5 linked regions of the Coturnix japonica genome follow. The protein of the gene in region 3 binds, or shares a complex with, the protein of the main gene of each other region. Links are inferred from orthologs where the notes say so. Each region holds a gene or a part of one and is shown on either strand. Other genes may lie near its edges.

Evidence for each region.
Region 1: APOOL (region 3) and CHCHD3 share a complex: the UniProt entries of both Homo sapiens proteins name them as parts of the mitochondrial contact site and cristae organizing system (MICOS) complex. The link is inferred for Coturnix japonica from reciprocal best matches to the Homo sapiens genes APOOL and CHCHD3.
Region 2: APOOL (region 3) and CHCHD6 share a complex: the UniProt entries of both Homo sapiens proteins name them as parts of the mitochondrial contact site and cristae organizing system (MICOS) complex. The link is inferred for Coturnix japonica from reciprocal best matches to the Homo sapiens genes APOOL and CHCHD6.
Region 4: APOOL (region 3) and MICOS13 share a complex: the UniProt entries of both Homo sapiens proteins name them as parts of the mitochondrial contact site and cristae organizing system (MICOS) complex. The link is inferred for Coturnix japonica from reciprocal best matches to the Homo sapiens genes APOOL and MICOS13.
Region 5: APOOL (region 3) and IMMT share a complex: the UniProt entries of both Homo sapiens proteins name them as parts of the mitochondrial contact site and cristae organizing system (MICOS) complex. The link is inferred for Coturnix japonica from reciprocal best matches to the Homo sapiens genes APOOL and IMMT.

What each region holds. Positions count from the first base shown.
Region 1 is NC_029516.1:1,800,224-1,804,296, forward strand, and holds the start of CHCHD3 (MICOS complex subunit MIC19), read left to right. Parts: upstream 1-1,267; 5' UTR 1,268-1,355; coding exon 1,356-1,436; intron 1,437-3,666; coding exon 3,667-3,751; intron 3,752-4,073. UniProt on the Homo sapiens protein: Component of the MICOS complex, a large protein complex of the mitochondrial inner membrane that plays crucial roles in the maintenance of crista junctions, inner membrane architecture, and formation of contact sites to the outer membrane.
Region 2 is NC_029527.1:7,385,531-7,389,471, forward strand, and holds the start of CHCHD6 (MICOS complex subunit MIC25), read left to right. Parts: upstream 1-1,129; 5' UTR 1,130-1,215; coding exon 1,216-1,305; intron 1,306-2,149; coding exon 2,150-2,279; intron 2,280-3,645; coding exon 3,646-3,709; intron 3,710-3,941. UniProt on the Homo sapiens protein: Component of the MICOS complex, a large protein complex of the mitochondrial inner membrane that plays crucial roles in the maintenance of crista junctions, inner membrane architecture, and formation of contact sites to the outer membrane.
Region 3 is NC_029519.1:8,435,787-8,439,876, reverse strand, and holds the start of APOOL (MICOS complex subunit MIC27), read left to right. Parts: upstream 1-1,279; 5' UTR 1,280-1,361; coding exon 1,362-1,373; intron 1,374-2,912; coding exon 2,913-3,014; intron 3,015-3,577; coding exon 3,578-3,697; intron 3,698-4,090. UniProt on the Homo sapiens protein: Component of the MICOS complex, a large protein complex of the mitochondrial inner membrane that plays crucial roles in the maintenance of crista junctions, inner membrane architecture, and formation of contact sites to the outer membrane.
Region 4 is NC_029543.1:715,155-718,229, forward strand, and holds MICOS13 (MICOS complex subunit MIC13), read left to right. Parts: upstream 1-1,487; 5' UTR 1,488-1,565; coding exon 1,566-1,594; intron 1,595-1,678; coding exon 1,679-1,835; intron 1,836-2,160; coding exon 2,161-2,212; intron 2,213-2,365; coding exon 2,366-2,463; 3' UTR 2,464-2,563; downstream 2,564-3,075. Other genes in the region: HSD11B1L (hydroxysteroid 11-beta-dehydrogenase 1-like protein), read right to left, coding at 186-277, 360-471, 730-860, 1,056-1,143; scaffold attachment factor B1-like, read right to left, coding at 2,885-3,014. UniProt on the Homo sapiens protein: Component of the MICOS complex, a large protein complex of the mitochondrial inner membrane that plays crucial roles in the maintenance of crista junctions, inner membrane architecture, and formation of contact sites to the outer membrane.
Region 5 is NC_029519.1:77,508,578-77,512,861, reverse strand, and holds the start of IMMT (MICOS complex subunit MIC60), read left to right. Parts: upstream 1-1,483; coding exon 1,484-1,616; intron 1,617-2,459; coding exon 2,460-2,613; intron 2,614-2,717; coding exon 2,718-2,907; intron 2,908-3,544; coding exon 3,545-3,665; intron 3,666-4,251; coding exon 4,252-4,284. Other genes in the region: MRPL35 (39S ribosomal protein L35, mitochondrial), read right to left, coding at 1-99, 483-784, 1,321-1,348. UniProt on the Homo sapiens protein: Component of the MICOS complex, a large protein complex of the mitochondrial inner membrane that plays crucial roles in the maintenance of crista junctions, inner membrane architecture, and formation of contact sites to the outer membrane.

The sequences.
Region 1 (4,073 bases), on a different chromosome or scaffold from region 3:
GTTATTATTATTCTTCACCAGTGCAAAGCAGAGGTATAGACCTGTCGGTGTGTCCAGTGGAAGGCCATAAGAATGATCCAAGGGATGGAACACTTTCCTTTTGAGGATAGGCTGAGCAAGTTGGGGTTGTTCAGCCTGGAGAAGAGGAGGCGCCTGGGAGACTTGAGAGCAGCATTTCAGGACCTAAAGAAGGGGTATAAGAAAGAAGGGGACAGACTCTTCAGTAGGGTCTGTTATGACAGGATAAAGGGAAAAGGTTTCAATCTAAAAGAGAAGAGATTTTACAGTAATAGTGGTGAGGCACCAGTTGCCCAGAGAGGTCCCATCCCTGGAGACACTCAAGGTCAGGCTGGATGGGGCTCTGAGCAACATGATGGAGCTGTAGGTGTCCCTGTTCATTGCAAGGAGTTGGAGCAGATGACCTTTAAATTTCCCTTCCAACTGAAATGATTCTAGCATTCTGTGATATATACTTACTATGTAAATGCCTTTCTCGCCTCACATTTACGACAGAGAAATTCAGAGATGCTTCTTACGTTGGTGGCATCCAAAATGCAGTATGTTTTCTGAGGTTTATACACTAGAAAACACTTCATTCTCCTCTCAGGCCTCTCCCCAGCACAAATCTCTATAGTTCTCTATATCTGGCAATCCAGGCAGGCTACCAGCCCCATCCAACCTACAGAACAGATGTTACCTGCAGAGCAGCCAAATGAACTTTTTATTTTAGGCCGAAGAGAAAATATATTCTGTGTTATTAACATTATTCAGCTCTTGGAACGAAGATTATACATCCAAAGGGGGGGTAATGGTAATTAAAGAAAGGAGTTAATGGCCCAAGGGGGTTAATGGTAATTTTATAACGTTATAAAAATGGATTGAGGTGCTAATTTGGACTAAATGACCTTCAAAGGTCCCTCTTCCAACTCATTCTATGATCAGCCTGTGGGTTCCAGCACAGCTCCGAGGGACACTTTGCACAGGGGCTTGTCTTGAGGTACTATTAACTATTACTTCTTTGGGCTGAGGGAAGAACTACATTACCCAGAGGGCCATGCACACGAGCACCGCGCTCCACCCCCCTCCTCTCAGAGCTAAGGATTCTGGGAGTTGTAGTCTGCCCCCCCAACCTCGGGAAGTTCGAACTGAAAAAGTTTCCCCAGCTTTTCCGGGTGTGCGCGGTTTCCATGTCTACGGCCCCGCAGCCAATAGGAAGAAGGTTTCTAGGCGAGGAAGGCGGGGTTAAGCGAAAGGCGGCCCAATGAGAGGCGGCGTTGTTGTGAGGCGAGCTGGCAGCGGGCGCGGAGAGTCTCCTTGGGGCTGTCCCTGGTTGCGGCCTGTAGCGCCGGGTGAAGATGGGCGGCAGCGGCAGCACAAGGAGAGTCACCTTCGAGGCGGATGAGAATGAGAACATCACGGTGGTGAAGGGTGTGAGGGTGAGAGCGGGGCTCCACCGGGCCTGGGGGGTCTGTAACGGGACACATTCTAATCTGAGGGACACGTGGGGCCTGGCTAACCCAGCGTCTATCTCGTATTTCTCCCTATTTTGTGCCATTATGCTGCCGGTGTCTGTCTCTTGTTCTCTTCTCTTGTTGAGTTTTGCCCGTTTTCTCCCCTCACTCTTCATTATCCTCAGGATAATCGCTTTCTTCTTTGGCACGAAGCTTCCTGTGACAGTGCAGCTGGTCTCCAAGGGCAGAGCTAACGCTGTGCTAAGAGAGATGTGTGACTGGAAGAACTTGTTCTACCTCCTCTGACCTCCACGTCTCAGAGCTGCTCATGTTACTCCATCTGGAGTACTGTGTCCAGATGTGGAGCCCTCAGTAACAAAAAGACATGGAGATTTTGGAAAGGGTCACAGAGGAGGGCCACGAAATGAGTTAGGGGGCTGGAGCACCTCCCTATGAGGACAGGCTGAGGGGTTGGGTTTGTTCAGCCTGGAGAAGAGAAGGTTGCGGGGTGACCTCATTGCAGCCTTTCAATACCTGAAGGGAACTTAACTCCCAGGAGGGGAGTCAACTCTTCGAAAGGGCTGATAATAGCAGGACACGGGGAAATGGTTTTAAGTTAAAAGAGGGAAGATTTAGGTTGGATGTTAGGGGGAAGTTCTTTACTAGGAGAGTGGTTAGGCCCTGGAACAGGCTGCCCAGGGAGGTTGTGGATGCTCTGTCCTTGGAGGTGTTCAAGGCCAGGTTGGACGGGGCCCTGGGCAACCTGATCTAGTAAAGGTGTATGTTTGGTGGCCCTGCTTAGCAGGGGGGTTGGACCTACATGATCCTTGAGGTCCCTTCCAACCCGGGTCATTCTGTGTGATTCTGTGATGTTCCCACGTTCTTTTACAAGCCATGTGAGCCAGCATTTTGTGATTCTGTGGTTCTGTATATCTGGTTTTCAGTTCACTCTACAGAAGCATTCATGCTGTTGCCTGTAACGTAGCAAAGGACAGATAACTTGTGGCACAAGACACTGCAAAATCGTGCAGTGCAGAAGTTTGTCAACAGAAGATGCTGCAGTTCATAGCAGGAATGATTAGGTGTCTTTGATTGCTGCTGGTAGAGAGGAGTGTTGCATAACAAAAAGTGATGTTAATTCCTGCTTTTTCTTTTGTCATATTAATTTTTCCCTGGTCTGGTCGTGTAATGGTCTTGGTCAAATAGGTGGCGGTAACTTTAAGTTACTGTTAAATTACTGACACTTTTAAGTTACACCAGAGTAACTAGGAAGTGCTGTTGAATTTTCTGTATAGTATCCTATGCAACTTCTTTAAAGTATCCTGTAATTTGAAATACTGGCAACAAAAACGGATTGATATAACTAGTGATAGGCAGTACCACCTCACTGAGCTCACATCCACTGTTTGGTCTCCATAAACATTCAGCAAGAGTTGATGAATGTCAGTGGATGCAATTTTTGCCACATGGAGGAGTTCAGTTCCACACATCCCTGTGTCAGATGCCACTTTGTCAGACTGTCCCTCTTCTGCCTCTGTTGCACAGCAAAAAAATGTAATAGATATTGGAGGGGAGGGTTCAACATATACTGCCATACCACCAACATCCACCTTTGACGCTGTGGACCAATAGGCATTACTTCAAGGGCAGCCCTTGTGCTCTACCTTGGGGTACGGTAGGTCTGATACTGGGCACTACTCTTACTCTCTGTTTGATTGTTTGTAATTTGTGAGTGTTTTTGGGTGTGCACATGCCAGCAGTAGGCTGAACTCTGTGGATAACAGTCCTTGCTATGACTGCTGTTGCTCCAGTGCTTTGAGAGCTCTATTAGAATGAAGTTCTGCATCTGCACAGCATGGCGTTTGACCATCATCCAATAGATAATCAATTGAGAAAGGCAAGAAGCCATATTTAATAGAAGTAATGATGTGCTGAGGGATGGTGGTGTGTCCTCTGTTTGACTGTACCACTTTCTTGTGTTCTGTGAGAAGCAAAATGTTCAGTCTTTGTACTCACAGAGAAGCGATCGCCCCACAAAGGAGGGCGGAGATGGTTTAAATAGTTTATTTTATACTGTCGATAACATTTTTGTTCTTATGTCTTATTTTGAAGCTCTATCCTATGTTTTTAAATAAGTTTTATTTCATTTTTGAGGGGCTGATGGTAGTGGAGATGGAGGAGGAGATACAGTCTGACTGATGGTTATGTTTTTCAGCTGTCTGATAGTGTCATTGATCGTATGAAGGAACCTTCTTCACCCAGTGGAAGATTGCAGTCTCAGCGCCGACCACCTGGTGCAGGTATGCATTTATTTCCTATGTATTAGTGGGGGGAAAAAACATGGAGTGTCATTCAGATTATTGTAATGAACTCATTGCCATTTCGTTGATATGATTTTTGTCTGACATCTAACATTTTTCCTTTCGAAGAAAGAAGCAGTTTGATGGGCTTTTAGATGAGTTAAATTACTCTTAATTTTCTTCTAACAATAAAATCTAAAACATAACTGTTCTATGGACTTGGTTTCCGAAGTTATTCTCTGTTGTTAAATAAATTCTTTTTTTAACTGAAAAAAACCCATACAGTGAAGTATGCATTGAGTTCTGAAGTGAAAACTCTTTT
Region 2 (3,941 bases), on a different chromosome or scaffold from region 3:
TGCAGTTCCAAGACAGTTTGTTCCAATTCTGGGACTGTTAAGCTGATAACTGCAATAAACTGGTTTCTGAGACAGACTGTGCTTCCCCTGGCTTTGGGGAGGTCAGCTCTAGGGGAACCTACCCGAGTCATTTGGTAGGTGGAGATGTGCTGTAGGTGATAGCAACTTCCCATTAAAAGCAGTAGAAAGAGAGGAAATATGAAACATTTCAGCACTGTGTATCTCTTGCTCCAGCTGTTCCTGAAAAACAATATTGGGGTGAGAGCTCTTGGGGAATCATTGTGCAGCATGGAGGTATCAGTTTAGAATCACAAGTGTGTGCAGGGAAAGCATTTCCCACTTAGGGGAAGAAGCAGTTTGGGTAAGAACACAAAGTTCTGTCAGTTGCTGAAACTATGCAGGCCCCTCACTTATCTTCTTTTTGTTAATGAGCAATGCAGCCTCTCAGTTCTGCAGCCTGAGGACTTTGCCCTGCAGGCTCCTGGGTAGCATTGATACTATTAGTAATATATATAGAGAGGAGTGTGCTGTGCTCCTCCCGTTGCTTGATGTGAACCTGCATCAGCCACATTTTACTTGTCAAAGGGATGGATGATGTGGTGTCCGAATTGCTCCTGTTTTCACTCTGATCCTTTGCAAGTGTGGGGGAAACCTGCAGAGCCTCCCTGGAGTCTGTTGGCCTTGGACAGGGCTGAAAGCTGAATGTCTCAGCAGGTCACCTATGCAGGTGGTCAGTGTGTCCACCCTGTCCTTTGGCAGCAGGACTTTAGTCTGTGTGCTGCTCCTGTGCTGGGCCATGGGCCGACCTTCCTTCTGGTGTATTTCTTTGTATATAAGGCTTTGGGCCGTGTTCACAACGGGCCTTGAGCAGAAGTGTTGTGTGTGTTGGGGGTGTGTGTGTGTATAAAGAGCCTAAATATAGAATAAATGTATATTTTTGTTTGTAAAATAAAAGAATACGGTGAAGTTTGGCATAAACGGTTATACTTTCTTTCTTAAACGACGTGTATTACGGAGAATTAACAAAAATCAATGAGTTTAGCAGGTATTAACGGAGCCTGTTTTCGGAGTTCAATCCACACCATTGGCCGCCTCGGTGCTGTTCGCCAATGGGATCCCGTTATGTTGGCAGGCGCCGGCAGAGGGGAGGAGCTGCTCGGTGCTGCTGGGCGAGGAGGGGGGGTTGAGGCATCCCCAAGGGCCGCCCCGCCGGCAATGGGGGGCAGCGAGAGCAGCCAGGGCGGCAGGAAGGTTTCCTTCGGGCTGGATGAGCGGGACCAAGTCCGGGTGCTGCAGGGCATCAGGGTGAGGCGCTGCGGGGCGGCGGGCCCGGCCGCGGCTTGACTCGGTGGGAGTGCGGCAGCCCCGGGCCGGCCTGTGCCCACAGCGGCTGTATTTCATATTCCTTTGGTCTGTATTCCTTTGGATGCCATTTGTGATGATACACACTGTGTGTGTGCCCGTGGGCTGACCGTGAAGGCTGCGTTCTGTTGGCTTTCACAGCTCCGGGTATCTTTCTATTGGCAGCCCCTTCTCACTATGTTTCTATAGAATGGAATTATTTTGAGTTAACTGCTGCCTTTCAGGTTGGAATTAGGCAGGTGTGACCCTTAGTGTGTCCTTAGGCTGGAAGTTTTATTGCCCATTGATAGAGTATGCATTTGTGTTTCTCAGTGTTGAGGTCACAGCCTGGCTTTAATGGAAATTAAAGATGTAATTGAAAGATGAAAGGTGAAGATGCATTGAAAGATGTAACACAGCTCTGTGTCCTTGTGTGCTACGGCCATCTGCTTGGCAGATGGAAATGACTTCTGTATGGCCTCTAATGCCATCCCTTGCAAGGAGAGCAGCAGAGCACCCTCACTGTGAGGGTGGTCAGGCTTCCTAGTGAGATGATTGGTGCCCAACACCCCTCAGTGTTCAAGAGGCGCTGGGATGATGCCCAGTGATAAAGATAATGCTTTAACTTTTCGTTAGTCCTTGAGTGTTCAGGCAGTTTGATCAGATGTCTTTGGTCCCTTCCAAGAAACAGTTCTGGTTTTGCAGCAGCTTATAAACCAACAAATTAGACGCCTTTATACTGAAATACATGTACATTAAATGGTTAGTTAACTAAATGATTAATTGCTTTCTTATGTGTGTGTTTTAGCTCACTGAAGATGTAGTGAATCGAATGAAAGAATCTCAAAGTAAAAGGGGCAGCCAGAGGTCACCCTATTCATCCAGTGGTACAGCTCCATCTTCAACAGCTGCAGAAGGGAAACCCAAATCTTCTACAGGTACTGCCAGTCTCTGTCAGGTCTATTGATTTGACACCTGTAGGGGAACTGTTAGGCCAGGATTTGATCTGGTGGTGAGCACTTGGTAAAGGGATGCAGCTGGCCCAGGGAGCGCAGGCAAATTGTTTGCACCTGGTCTCCCTATGAGACCAGAAGGGGTGGAGTCCCCCTAGGCTCTCATATAAATGCCAGCCACTGAAGGGAAAGCATCTCTTGGACCTATGCTGCTTCCTGCAAAGGAGTGTGTATAAAGGAGAGCCCCTTCACCAGCTGGGTGAGTTCCAGTCTTCTTTCTGTATATGTCTATTGGCCTACCTGCAAATACTTTATGTGGTGTTGCCAAGAACACATCAGAAGTAATGTTGGTGCTTTGTGAGAAGGACAATATGCTGCTTAGCACTTCTGTTTGTGTTACATAGCATGAACTATCCTGAGAAGAGCTGCTGAAATGCTGTGGTTCTTGTTCTGTTGTTGTGGGACATTAAGGAAGACAACTTGTTTATGTAGATGCTCTTGTTTTGTCTTTAGAATGCCTTGGTTCTCAGATGCATTAAGGAACTTGTGTGACTTTGAGTGTAGAAGTTCAGATAAACACACAATAAGCAAGGCAGTAATTCAGTAATTTTTTAATGTTATCTTTTGTTTCTTGAAACTTGTTTTACTGTCCCTTTTCCATGCAGATGGGAGTATGTGGTGGGGGGGGGGGAGATGCTGCCTTTTGTCCTTTGGAAATAAACTCATTCTTGGAGGGGAAGTGACTAAACACAGGTTATATGACACATCAAGTGAACAGTGAGAACACGATTTCTGAACTTTACTTTCTTTACAGTTAATAAAATGATTTGATTTTATTGGTTTGCAAATATACTTTGTTGATAAACTTTATCAGTATGGATTTAAGGCATACAAACTAACACAAAGTTAATGAACCAGGCCTTTGCTGTTAGAAACTGGTTTGCTGTTAGCCTACATCTTTTCCGAAAGTGGTTTCAATTTTATGGATGAACTCCATTAAATAACTTAATCTCTGTAATTGCAAGGAAAGCAGGAAGACTTAATGAAGCTAGAAGAAACAACTAGAAAGTGGGACTAAAGCTATGCTTATTTTCCAGTATAAAGCAGTGTCTGTGTGTAACATCCTTACTTGGTTCAGTGTGCCTTGTTGAAGGCAGTGCTGACAGTGTTGTCAGTATCTCTTTCTTTCATTAAGTCTATTTCCATCAGATTTAAATTTTCTTGAGACTTGTCTAGGATTGTTATTTATCGTCTTGATGGAATAACATGTATTAAGTATTCTCTTCTTATCAAACAATTTAGGCTGTGTTCTGTATTACAGTTCTTATGGGTTTCTGTTCTTTCTCTCTAGGAATCCAGCCACCAGGTAACTCTGATCAGAAGGCTACAGTTGCGGAGCAGGAACTGTACAGGAGGTGAGTTTAGCTCCTTTTATGCTGTGAGATAGACTGACTCCTTTTACTGTGGTCTGTCCTTTCATCTTGTCCAAAGCAGTATCTATTTATCTAACTAACTACTTTATATCATTGCAACTTTTAGGTGGTAATTAAGTACTTAATAGAGCTAAATAACTGAAATATAAATTTGTATGGGTCTCAGTTTGCTGTTTTTGCCTGACTTGTATGTTTGTGAAAACTGCGGGTCATG
Region 3 (4,090 bases):
CATGGAGACTCCATGACCTGTGGGCATTTTTTGTTTACAAGCAGTATGTATATAAGTATTAGCGGCAGAACTGTTATTTATCACCAAGTTATGTTGTGGTTGATTCTTTCTAAAGTAAATATGTGTTTTATGTCATTATGAAAAATAAGTATTTTTAGTAAGAGCCATCTTGAAATGTTTGAAGCGTCAAAGCTTCAAATACTCGGAATCTTCCATGTTTCAGCCTTGTTTTTCCAAACAACTGTGAGATGAACTGAGAGGTCACGGTGAACCATCTGTCCACGCCAGGGAAGGTGTCTGAGTTGTATCACAGTTTGTGACATCCTCCAACTTTTCTCTAATTACCATCTTGCTTAAGCGCTTTCATGAGCAGATGCTCTACCGACACCATAGTAAATCCTTCAGCTCACTGTAACAGAGAGAGAAAACTGCTCTAACTGGAAGCATACAGGTTAGGCTGGGTTTCAACCCCTGGATAATACAGTATTCTTCGGTTTCACAACAGTATTTTTAATTTTCTACTTGTCTATGTTGAGAGATGACCCAATAGTTTCTATAGGCAGTGAACGTTAGGTTTCTTTTTTTCCTCTTCTCAGATGACTTCTGTGTGAACTACTGTAACCGGCTGCGTTTTTCTATCACAGATGAACTTGTTAACTTTTTGTGTGTCTACAATGAAAACTTATGAATGGAAAACTTCACTGTGTGTTGCTCACTGGGCAGATACCTCATGGTACATTGCACAGACGTGTAAGTTGTAAGTTGCACTGCAACATTAAAAAAAGGAACATATTGCTCTTTTTTCAAAGATATTAACTTATTTAAGAGATATAGTCTGTACATTATTAAACAGAACATTTATTCTTCCTAAATTCAAATGAAGCTTTTGTTTTGGGGGGAGAAAAAAAAAAAGTTGTAAACTTCAGTTGTAAATTTGGACTTCAATAAACGGAATTATCTGCACTTCAACTCTGTGCTCAGGTTGTTTTAGTGCGTGATCACAGAATCACAGAATTATCAAGGTTGGAAAACACCTAGAAGACCATCTAGTCCAACCATTCCCAATGCTTCCTGGCTAAATCATATTCCTCAGCACCACATCCAAGCGTTTCTTGAACACTCCCATAGTCGGTGACTCCACCACCTCCCTGGGCAGCTCTCTATAACTACACTTACGAAGAGTAACCAACAAAGCCCCACGCTGTGACTCAGGCACACACCCAACGAAGGGCAGATCTCTCCGGCCCGGTTCCATCGCCCCATCCGCCGTGCAGCCCCGCCCCGAGCAGGAGGAGCCCTCGGCCGAGCGCTCGGCCCTTCCCTTCCCGCTCGCCGTACGCGGCTGCGGGGCTGTCGCTAAGATGGCGGCCAAGGTGAGTGCCGCCCGGCGCGGGGGGAGGGCGGCCCTTTCCGCTCCGAGGGAGGGCCTGAGGTCCCTCAAAGCCCCGCATCCCGCCGGCTCTCTGTGTCCTGTGCTGCTCAGCTCCCGTCGTAGCCCTGCAGAGGCACCGGGTCGGGCCGCGGGGGCTGTGAGGGCACGAGGTCGCCGTGCTGTCCGGTGCCGCTGTGGGTGGGAGCTGAGGGGGAGGTGTGTGAAGCGGAGCCCTCTGCTGCGGGACTAGTGCCTGTGGGAGCTGCTTCCACACGGCTTGAGTTGTGCCTGTGCAAAATAAACACCAACCTGTAACTGCTCGGTACAGTGACACCTACTGAACGTAGCTGAGGTGATGCTGCCTTCTTTCTCCCCAGTTCTTTGTGATTTCAGTGGGAAGAGTTAAACCTTTCTGTGCCTATGCCAAGATCAGTGTCAGGTAGCAGAGCTGTTCATTGGGTTTTTAAATAGTCATGTGTTTGTCTTCAGGCGTCCAAAAGTGAAGCAATTAGTGTCAGTCAGGAATTGGAGTACTCTCACTGTTCACATTGTAGCTTTTTCTGTTACTTTTACTACAAATAAACTTCGTTGTGACTCTCTGAAGTAATCAAATCTAAGTAAACAATGTAATGCTTTCTTACTTTAAAATTTCCTGGTGGCATCTACTGGAAATGGGAGCGTTGCTTTGGTAGCATCTTGTTCTGAAGTAGGTTACTTCAGTAACAGTACATCTTAAATAGTTTTCTTTAATAATTCATATAAAGCACAGCCTTTTCCTTGGGGATGGGTGTACCTCCCTAAATCTGCTGGAGCTCAGTCTGTTTTTGCAGTTTAAGAAATGCTTCAGGTGAAGAGCAGGAAAGTTGTTGCTGATGGAAGGTGCAGATGCTTCAGTGCGTGTTGGGCTGGTGGTTAATGCACCGTGTGCCTGGGGTGCATCCCATTGGTGTCTTAAGGCAGAGAGGTAAAAAGCAGCTTCCCATGAAGCGGTATTTGAGTTCACCTCTGCGTTAAGGATTTTTCTTTTTCCAAATTTAAGTAGACCTGGAGCTGTTATGACCAGACTTTGTAACTCACACTGTAGCTGACAGGGTTAGAAAGGTTAAGCAGGTGGTTCTTCATTCTGATTTTGTCGCTTACTGTTGACACGTGGTTCTTCCAGACAGCAGTTGGACCATCCTCTGAACTGGGAGATGGCAGATTATTGCAAGTAACACTGAACTTGCCGAAACAAAAATGTCATTCACTGACTTGGAGTAGTTAAATGTTGACAAGGTTAGAACTTAATTTATTGTAAGGAGCAATGAAGGCATCAAAATGACATTGAGCACAGAACTGTGGTCATCTCTATCTCTTTCTTTGCCACTGATATTTGAGAAAATGTCTGTGTACGAAGCATTTATTGAAGGTTGCCTATTTTAGACAGGCTTTTAAAATGACTTGTTTAACCCTGTATTTGGCCAAGCACAATATAGTAGCAAAATTTTGAATGGAATGAGGTTTTATTTCTACATTAAGACTTCCTTCTTTCATCTCTCAGGTGACAAGGCTGGCTGCTGCTTCTTCCTCCCTACCATTCCTGTGTGCAGTATATGCAGCAACAGAGAAGGAATCAACAAGTCAGCTGCTGAAGCCAAACCAGGTGCGGTTCTTACTGCTTTCGTGATTTGTTGCTGTTGATTATCATTAACTTGTAAATAAAAGACATAACTGAGTATTATGTGATCACACAAAGCTCCTCCAAAATAATTGACCACTACAGCACAGATAGAAAGGAATAGTGTAAATGAGTGGAATTTTACCTTGTTTCCATCATTCTGTTGTTTTCTAGAGTTAGAGATAACAGTGTAATACTTTCTGTTAAGAAGTCTTTTCTACCGTACAATTTCTATCAGCAAATTACATGATTCTTCCTACTTGTCTTTCTTTATGCTTTTCATTAATAAAATACGTCTTTGTCACTCAGTGGTTCTACTTCTCCAAGCACGTACAATACTTTGTTTTCAATTGTGAAGAACTGACCTGCAGCCATACCTGTGTAATTAAGTTTCTAAATGTAAAAGAGCGCTATTTGATACACCGACTTTCTTTGCCGAATGGGAAGGCTGAAGATTTGTGGGTTTGAGAAGTGCTGCTCAGCGCCAGTAAATGCAGGTCAGTTCACAGAATGGCCTCCCTGCAGTAGGGTTATACTTGTGATTCCAGCTTCCAATTTACTGCTCGCCGCCTTTGAAATCAAAATACATTGAAGAACAGCCTGGTCGCTTGCAGAAGCAATTCTCTTCAATAAGACAGACAACTGGACACTATATTGGATGGTGTAAGGTAAGAAATGCCTGCCCCCAAGGTTTCCTATAATTCCTAATAGCACTAGACTAAAAGGTTAAAATATATATATATCCTCCTTGACCCTGCTGGAGTTTTTTTGGCAACTTCTTGTGTTATTACAGACCTGTAGTTTCAAATGCAAAAATGAACAGTTTCATTTTTCTCTACTGTTCTTTTAACAGTTCTCCCTGTTTTCCAGTGCAGATGTCAGAGAGCTCAAATAGATCCCTTTCAGTCGATACAAAAGTGGGTCAAGGCCAACTCACGCTGTCAGCTTTAGAAATACTTTTTGCTTAACTTTAGTGGTAAGAGTTCTGTAGGTAACTTCCTGCCAGCATAACTGTTATGTCTGGGTGTCTGAAATTCCAGGTACAGTCCCAGAAAGAGTGC
Region 4 (3,075 bases), on a different chromosome or scaffold from region 3:
ACGACAGGAGGAAAGGAAGGTTAAGTCAGCACAACACTGAGGTGAGTAGGGGAGGCTCCAAAGTATCAGCCTAGAAACACACACACGGTTGCCCTCGGCTGCAGGCAGAGCTCTGAATCTGCCTTCGAGCCCCTCCAGGTTGTCCCAGGAGCAGCAGAATCACAAGAACTGCTGGGAATCCTCACCTGCATGAGCCAGCGGCTGTGCTCCACATCCCCGCCCCACATCTCAAACGGGGAAGTGCCGATATGGTTCAGCACGAGGTAGTCCAGCCCTCCTGCGGGCACAGACAGCAGTCAGTAAATACAGGGGTAAATACAGCAGATATTTGGCTGTGCTGCCATTCTTGTCCCGCTTACCCAGTTTTTGGACAGCGAACTGAACCACCCTGTCGGGCTCTGAAGGTGAAGACATGTCAGCTGGGAGGTAGAAGACTTTCTTTGCTCCGAGGGTCAGACATTTCTCCATCACCTGCGAAAACAGCGCTGTGCCAATGGCTCAATGTGAGGTGGGGGGGAGGAGCAGCGATAAGGAGCAACATCGGGCTGCGGTGCTGCCCCCTGGTGGGAGAAACACGCGCTGCAACAGCGCTGCTGGGCGACAGCAACGGGGGAACCCAGCACAGGGGAACCCACATGGGGTCAGTGCAGGGGATGGCAGCACAAAACAGCCACAAAAGCCCGAAGCCCAAAGCCCGAGTCCCCGCCGTTCTGTTCCCTCCTCCCTCACCTCCCGCAGCGCCGCCTCCCTCCTGGCGGTCAGCACCATCTGAGCCCCATAGGCCGCATAGCGATAAGCCAACTGCTCCCCGATCCCGGCGCTGGCTCCGGTCAGAAGCACGCGGGCACCGGAAAGGAGCTCTGAGAACGGGACACACGGACACAGATACAGACACACAGACGGACACACGGACACAAGTGTGCGGGGAAACGGGGCACGAAGCGGCGGGTGGGGGCGGATGGAGCCGCTGCTGCAGCCGGGGCCGGTTGTGGCCGCGCTCACAGCGGGGGCTGCGTGTGACTGAGCGGCCGTTACCGAGTGTCGGACCGTGATACCTGCGTGGAACGGGTCGTCCCTGCAGCGCAAACACAGCAGCGCAGCCAGGAGCCCCGCGGCACAAAACAGCTTCGTGATGGGAACCATCGTGTGCGGGACGGGACGGGGCGGGACGGGAACGAGCTGCGGGAACGGAACGGAACGGGATCAGTGATGGGGGACGGGGGGAGTCCGAGCGGAACGGGGCGGGATGGAGGCGATAGAACGGGCTGCCCCCCCACAACGGGAAGGTGTCGGACCGGGTCAGGCCTCATCACCCCGTTATCTCGCTCATCTCCCATCATGTCGCCGCTCACAGCGCCACGTTCAGCGGGTGCGGCCCCCACTCCCCGCCCTGCGGCCCCCAGCCCCCTCACTGCCCGCCCCGACCCCTCACCCCAAGATGGCGGCGGCCGCAGCTTCCTACGTGCGCTCGTTGCCGTGGTAACGGTTGAGAAGGAAGTGGTTCTCCACTCTTCCGGTCACGTGAGGCTCCCGGCGGCCCTCGCGGCGCTGCCCTTGGTGCCGTCATGGCCGCCCGCATCGCGCCGCTCATCCGGTCAGTGACCGCGGTCAGACCCGGGATGGGAGGGACGTAACGGCGGGACCGAACCGAACCGAGTCACTGCTTTGGTCCCTGCAGGTTCGCCATCAAGGGAGGCCTGGCCGGAGCCGCCGTGTACGTGTCGTACGATCAGGGGCTGCTGGGCAGCGGGACCGAGGGGGCAGAGGCCTTAAAACGGGCCCGGGAAGCGCTACCGGCTGCGGTGAGAGAATGGAGCGGACACGTGGGATGGGAGGTGAGAGGGAGATAAGGGAGATAAGGGGAGATAAGGGGGGAGATAAGGGGGGGATAAGGAGCAGCATCGGGTCTGTTTGGACCCACAGTGACAGGGAGACCCTGAAGGAACCAGCAGCTTTTCCATATCGGATCCTATTATAAGCTGTCACGTATTTCCCCTCTGCTTTTACTGCAGCTCAGAGCCCAGAGCTCACTGATGCCCATTGACTCTCATTGATTCTCATTGATGCTCATTGATGTAGCACCAAACCCCTTTGGGCTCCGTGATCCCCCTGCCCCCCATTGCTGCCCTTCTTTCTTTCTTTCTTTCTTTCTCTCTGCAGCTCCCACCCGTTCCAACCTTGGATTTCTCCCCCTCGGATTCCTGGAATAAAGGTAAAATCCCATTTCATTATTTGTGGGAAGGGGCCAGTGCTGCAGCTTGTCATAGAACCACACACTGGCCGGGGTTGGGGTTGGTGCCACAAATCAACCTGCCATGTGCCTCCATTGCTGCTGTGCTGTGCTGACTGTCCATGTCCCTTACAGGGGTGCACACGCTGATGTCTGCCCTGTCGGTGGCTCCCAGCAGAGCGTGTGAATACACGGCTCAGGGCTGGAACTACCTCAAGGATCTCGTCAAGTGAGCTGAGCACATCCTCTGTCCCGCTCTCATTCTGTCCGTCCCGTGCTGCTCCCACAGCTCAGCCACAAGGGCTGCAATAAAAGACTTTGAAGTTCTGGTTTCATTGGGGTTGGTTTTGACAAATAGCCCCCATTGCTCCATGCCTTCATAGCAGTAGGTGCCTCAGAGACGACTGCAGCCGTGAACTGTAAACTGTTTTTTTTTTTATTTATGGAAAATGGAATGCTTCATTAACAAACAGTTTTAAATGAGGATATGAACAACACGTTACAAAACAAATGAGTTCACATTGGATCGAGTGACGTCGTATGGCAGCAGCTTAAAAAAGAAATTCCACTTACAGTGACCCACGAGCTCCAAGGGCCGGACACCCCAGGGACAAACCAACTGCAGTTGCCACGTAGCGTTAGAAATTAAAACATTCAGTAGCGACGGTTGAAGCGAGGGTCGTTGGGTCGGCTCGCTCGCTCCTGGCCGGCAAATCCCTCCCCTTGCATCCCCCCTCCGTGCATCAGCTGACTTTGGTTCCCTCCTTGCATGAACCCTCCTCGCCTGCAAAGTGGGGCAGATGGTTTGGGGTTGGTTCTCTCCAATGAAGCACAGGAATATTCTG
Region 5 (4,284 bases), about 69 Mb from region 3:
ATCCAGGAGTTTACTTTGTGTCCTATTGCACAACACAAACTCTCTCAAGCGTTTCTTCTGGGCAGTAGATTTCTTCCACAGTTTCTTCTTGTAACCAGACTGCCAGGAGAAAACAGACAGTGAGTTGCTACCAATAGGGACGTATAGCAATTCTCACACATAAGCACAAAACCCCCACTTTTAGGAAGCCAGGAGATGCAAACTTCCATACCAGCTTCCTCTGTCTATCAGAGCAAAAGCAATGAATCAATGAATCATAGAATGGCCTGGGTTGAAAAGGACCACAATGATCATCCAGTTTCAACCCCCTGCTGTGTGCAGGGTCACCAACCAGCAGACCAGGCTGCCCAGAGCCACATCCAGCCTGGCCTTGAATGCCTGCAGGGATGGGGCATCCACAGCCTCCTTGGGCAACCTGTTCCAGTGCATCACCACCCTCAATGAACCCACTGCTTTAACACCTGAACAAAACTAAATCCTACCTTCCTCCTCACCCAAAGCCCACAGTGCAGCCGCAGAAATCTCTTAACGACAGCTTTCACAGTCTTCCTCTTTCCCTTCCGTAAGCCGTAATAAGTGACGGGCCTCGTGGGCTGCTGAAGGATGTTGGGAAGCAGAGGAGTGAGTCTGAGGACCAGGGAAGGACACGGTGCGCCGGGCACGATCCCTTTGGACGGCGGTTTGGGCAGCGGAGCCGCAGCCCACACCGGGCTGTGGCAGCACCGAACGGCGGCGGTTCGTCCTGCAGCCAGCGGGGCCCAGCGTGACAGCGGGCGCAGCATCCCTGCAACGAGAGACAGAATCACAGAATGAGCCGGGTTGGAAGGGACCTCAAGGATCATGTAGTTCCAACCCCCCTGCCTGGCAGGGCCACCGAACATACACCTTTACTAGATCAGGTTGCCCAGGAGACCCCATAGATCCCCACAGAGACCCTATAAATCCCATAGATCCCCATAGAGACCCCATCGATCCCATAGATCCCACAGATCCCCATAGAGACCCTATAAATCCCACCGATCCCCATAGAGACCCCATAGATCAGGTTGTCCATGGCCCTGTCCAACCTGGCCTTGAACACCTCCAAGGACGGGGCATCCACAACCTCCCTGGGCAGCCTGTTCCAGGGCCTAACCACTCTCCTAGTGAAGAACTTCCCCCTAACGTCCAACCTAAATCTTCCCTCTTTTAACTTAAAACCATTTCCCCGTGTCCTGCTATTGTCAGCCCTCAGGACGGTGAGCAGCCCCGCACCGCCGCCATTTCACGGGCACCCCCCGCTCCGACATGGCGGCCCGGCTCCCTCCGTCAGCCACAGACCCGTGAGGGCCGCTCTCACAGCCGCCATGTCCCTCAGCCCGGCTCAGGCTCCGCCCGTCCCGCAGGGCGCCCAGTCCCCGCTGTGAGGAGCACAGTCCCCTCGCGACTCCTCCTAAGATGGCGGCTCACTCTCTCAGCGCAGTATCCCCGCCCCCCCCGGCGGATGTGCGTCCCGCGCATGCGCAGTGCGCCGTGCAGCCGGTGTGTGGAGTTGCATCGCGCGGCGCGTCGGTGCTGCCGGGTGCGGGGCGATGCTGCGGGTCTGTCAGCGGGCGGGGGGAGCGGTGACAGCGCAGGTGAGCGGGGATGGGTCCGGTGGGGAGCGGGGGGGAGATTTGGGGCCTTGTGGGGGGAGCACGGCTGGTTCTGGTCGGTGTGAGCACATTGCGGCCTAACGATGACAGCACTGGGCGGCGGGACGTGACCTTGTGGATGTGGGGCCTGGGCTGATGGATGGGAACCGCTGTTAAATGAGGATGGGGGTGTGATGGGGAAACTGAGCTGAGACGGAAAGCAGAGTAACGATGGTGGCTGTCACATAGAGCTCTGTGATGTGTGAGACATGTCCTGAGCGGCTGCGGGGATGGAAAATCACCGTGTTTGGAATCATTGAGTCATAGAATGGCCTGGGTTGAAAAGGACCACAATGATCATCCAGTTCCAACCCCCTGCTGTGTGCAGGGTCACCAACCAGCAGCCCAGGCTGCCCAGAGCCACATCCAGCCTGGCTTTGAATTCAAACAAGATTATTTGATGGCCAAAGGGGCCGATGCAGCTTTAAGAAACTACTGCTTAACCAGTTTTTCTGGCAGATCTTCATTTTGAGGTAAAATAGGAGGTAAAAATGTTGGGTAACGTTATCCCCGCTAAATAGAATAGGGTAAAATATCACTCCTCACATGGTAATTTCATTTATAGTATAATGAGATCTCTATCTTGAAAGCGGCTGCGTTGTTCTTGTAGGGAGCTCATAAAGAAACGTGTTTGTGTCTCTTGAATGAGCTGCAGGTCTAAAGGCAGCTCTGGTTTCTGCACTGAGCTGCTGTAGCTCTCAGACCGAGCTGAACTAACATGCATTGGGATGAGTTGAGGCTGAGATGTGCTCAGTGCCTGACTGTGCTCTCCTCCACCCCTCACAGAGCTGCTGGTGCAGGAGGGCATCGCTCCGTCCACCTCGACTGAGCCGTGGATATGCGACCTCGTCGGGGGAGTCCGGGTGCGTTGGAGGGGTGGTTCCTTCCATCCCTTGGTTTGTCCCACACTCTTGGGTTGGTGGCCGCCTTCTGGATCACAGTGGGTGTTCCCAGGTGTAGGCTGGAGGTTTAAAACCTATCAGAGGCTTTATTGTCGTGCAATACGATTTACATCGTTTCTGTTTTATCCCTCTCTCCACGCAGTGTTTCTGTAGGCAAAATCATCGGTGCAAGCGTCTTGTTTGTGGGTGGAGGAGTCGGGGGAACCGTCCTGTACGCCAGCTACGATCCACACTTCAGGGAGAATGTAGAGAAAGCCATTCCCTACTCTGACAAACTGTTTGAGATGGCCCTTGGTCCTGCACCGTACAGTGTGCCCATGCCAAAGAAACCGGTAAGCATCTCCCAATCACCTATTCAGCTGACGGCTGTGTAATGGTGCTGCTCGCATGTTTCCCTTTATCATGGAATCATAGAAGGGCTCAGGTTGGAAGGGACCTCAGGGACCACCGAGTTGCAACCCCCTGCCACATGCAGGGCCACCAGCCTCCACATTTAATACCAGCCCAGGCTGCCCCATCCAACCTGCCCTTGAACACCTCCAGGGATGGGACATCACAGCCTCTCTGGGCAGCTGTTCCAGCACCTCACCACTCTCATAGTACAGAACTTCCCCCTGACATCCAACCTAAATCTTTCCTCCCTCAACTTAAAACCATTTCCCCTTGTCCTGCTATTATCTACCCTTCCAAAGAGTTGACTTTCCTCCTGTTTATAGGCTCCCTTTAGGTACTGGAAGGCTGCAGTGAGGTTACCCTGCAGCAGTTTTCAGCTGCATGTTCTTCACTTGTGATCATGGAGGCTCTTAGTGCCTTCCAGGCACCGAGTAAACTTTAGCATCACACAGACTGCTCAGACTGAAATCCTGATCTGCCCAGTTATGGCTCTGACTCAGATGCTTTTGTTCTTACCTTGTGGCTTTGCACGATGGTTACTGAAAAATGAATACTTTCTTATTTTTGATTCTCAAGATACAACAAGGTCCACTGAAGATCTCATCTGTAGCAGAAGTAATGAAAGAATCCAAACAGCCCGTTCCCAAATCCCACACAAGCAAAACAGAAGCTGTTGCTCCTTCAGAGGAAAAAGAAGGTAACCTTATGGAATGTCACACGGAGAGAAGCAGAAGTGCTAATGTTCTCCTGTACCGTACATCCCACAGCAGATGGAGATGGGCTTTGGGGATGGTTGCAGATGTTTGTGCTGTAGTTTTGTTGAATTAATATTATTGATCATAAGGAAGTTTGCCTAGAAGGGCTTGAGCCATTTTTGCTTAGTTTTCAATTAAGTTTATTGACCTTAGAGTATTTGGAATCTAATATAAATGACTGCACTCCATAGTTCTGCATACAAGGCTCACTTTGGGTGCTGGGCTCTTGAGATATTCTATTTCTTCTTCTTAAGCAACTGCAGTATGCCTTAATTGGGATAATTGCTTGAGCTGCTTGTAAAGCCAGATTAAAAGGAACATAGAGAGTCACAGTTGGCATCTTTGTTCCCTTATCTGTCATGTCAGGTGAAGATCTGCGTGTGTGTAATTAATGCTGTCTCCTTTTCTGTAAATAATAACATGAATGTCCCAATGAAGTTCCTCCAGAGGAAAAACCCAGTGTCTGTTATTTCCCTGTTCTCACTTCAGTGCATGTGCATGTTTCAGTTCTGTAACTGTACTTAACAGCAGGCACAGCTGCAGCACAGATCATCTCTGCAA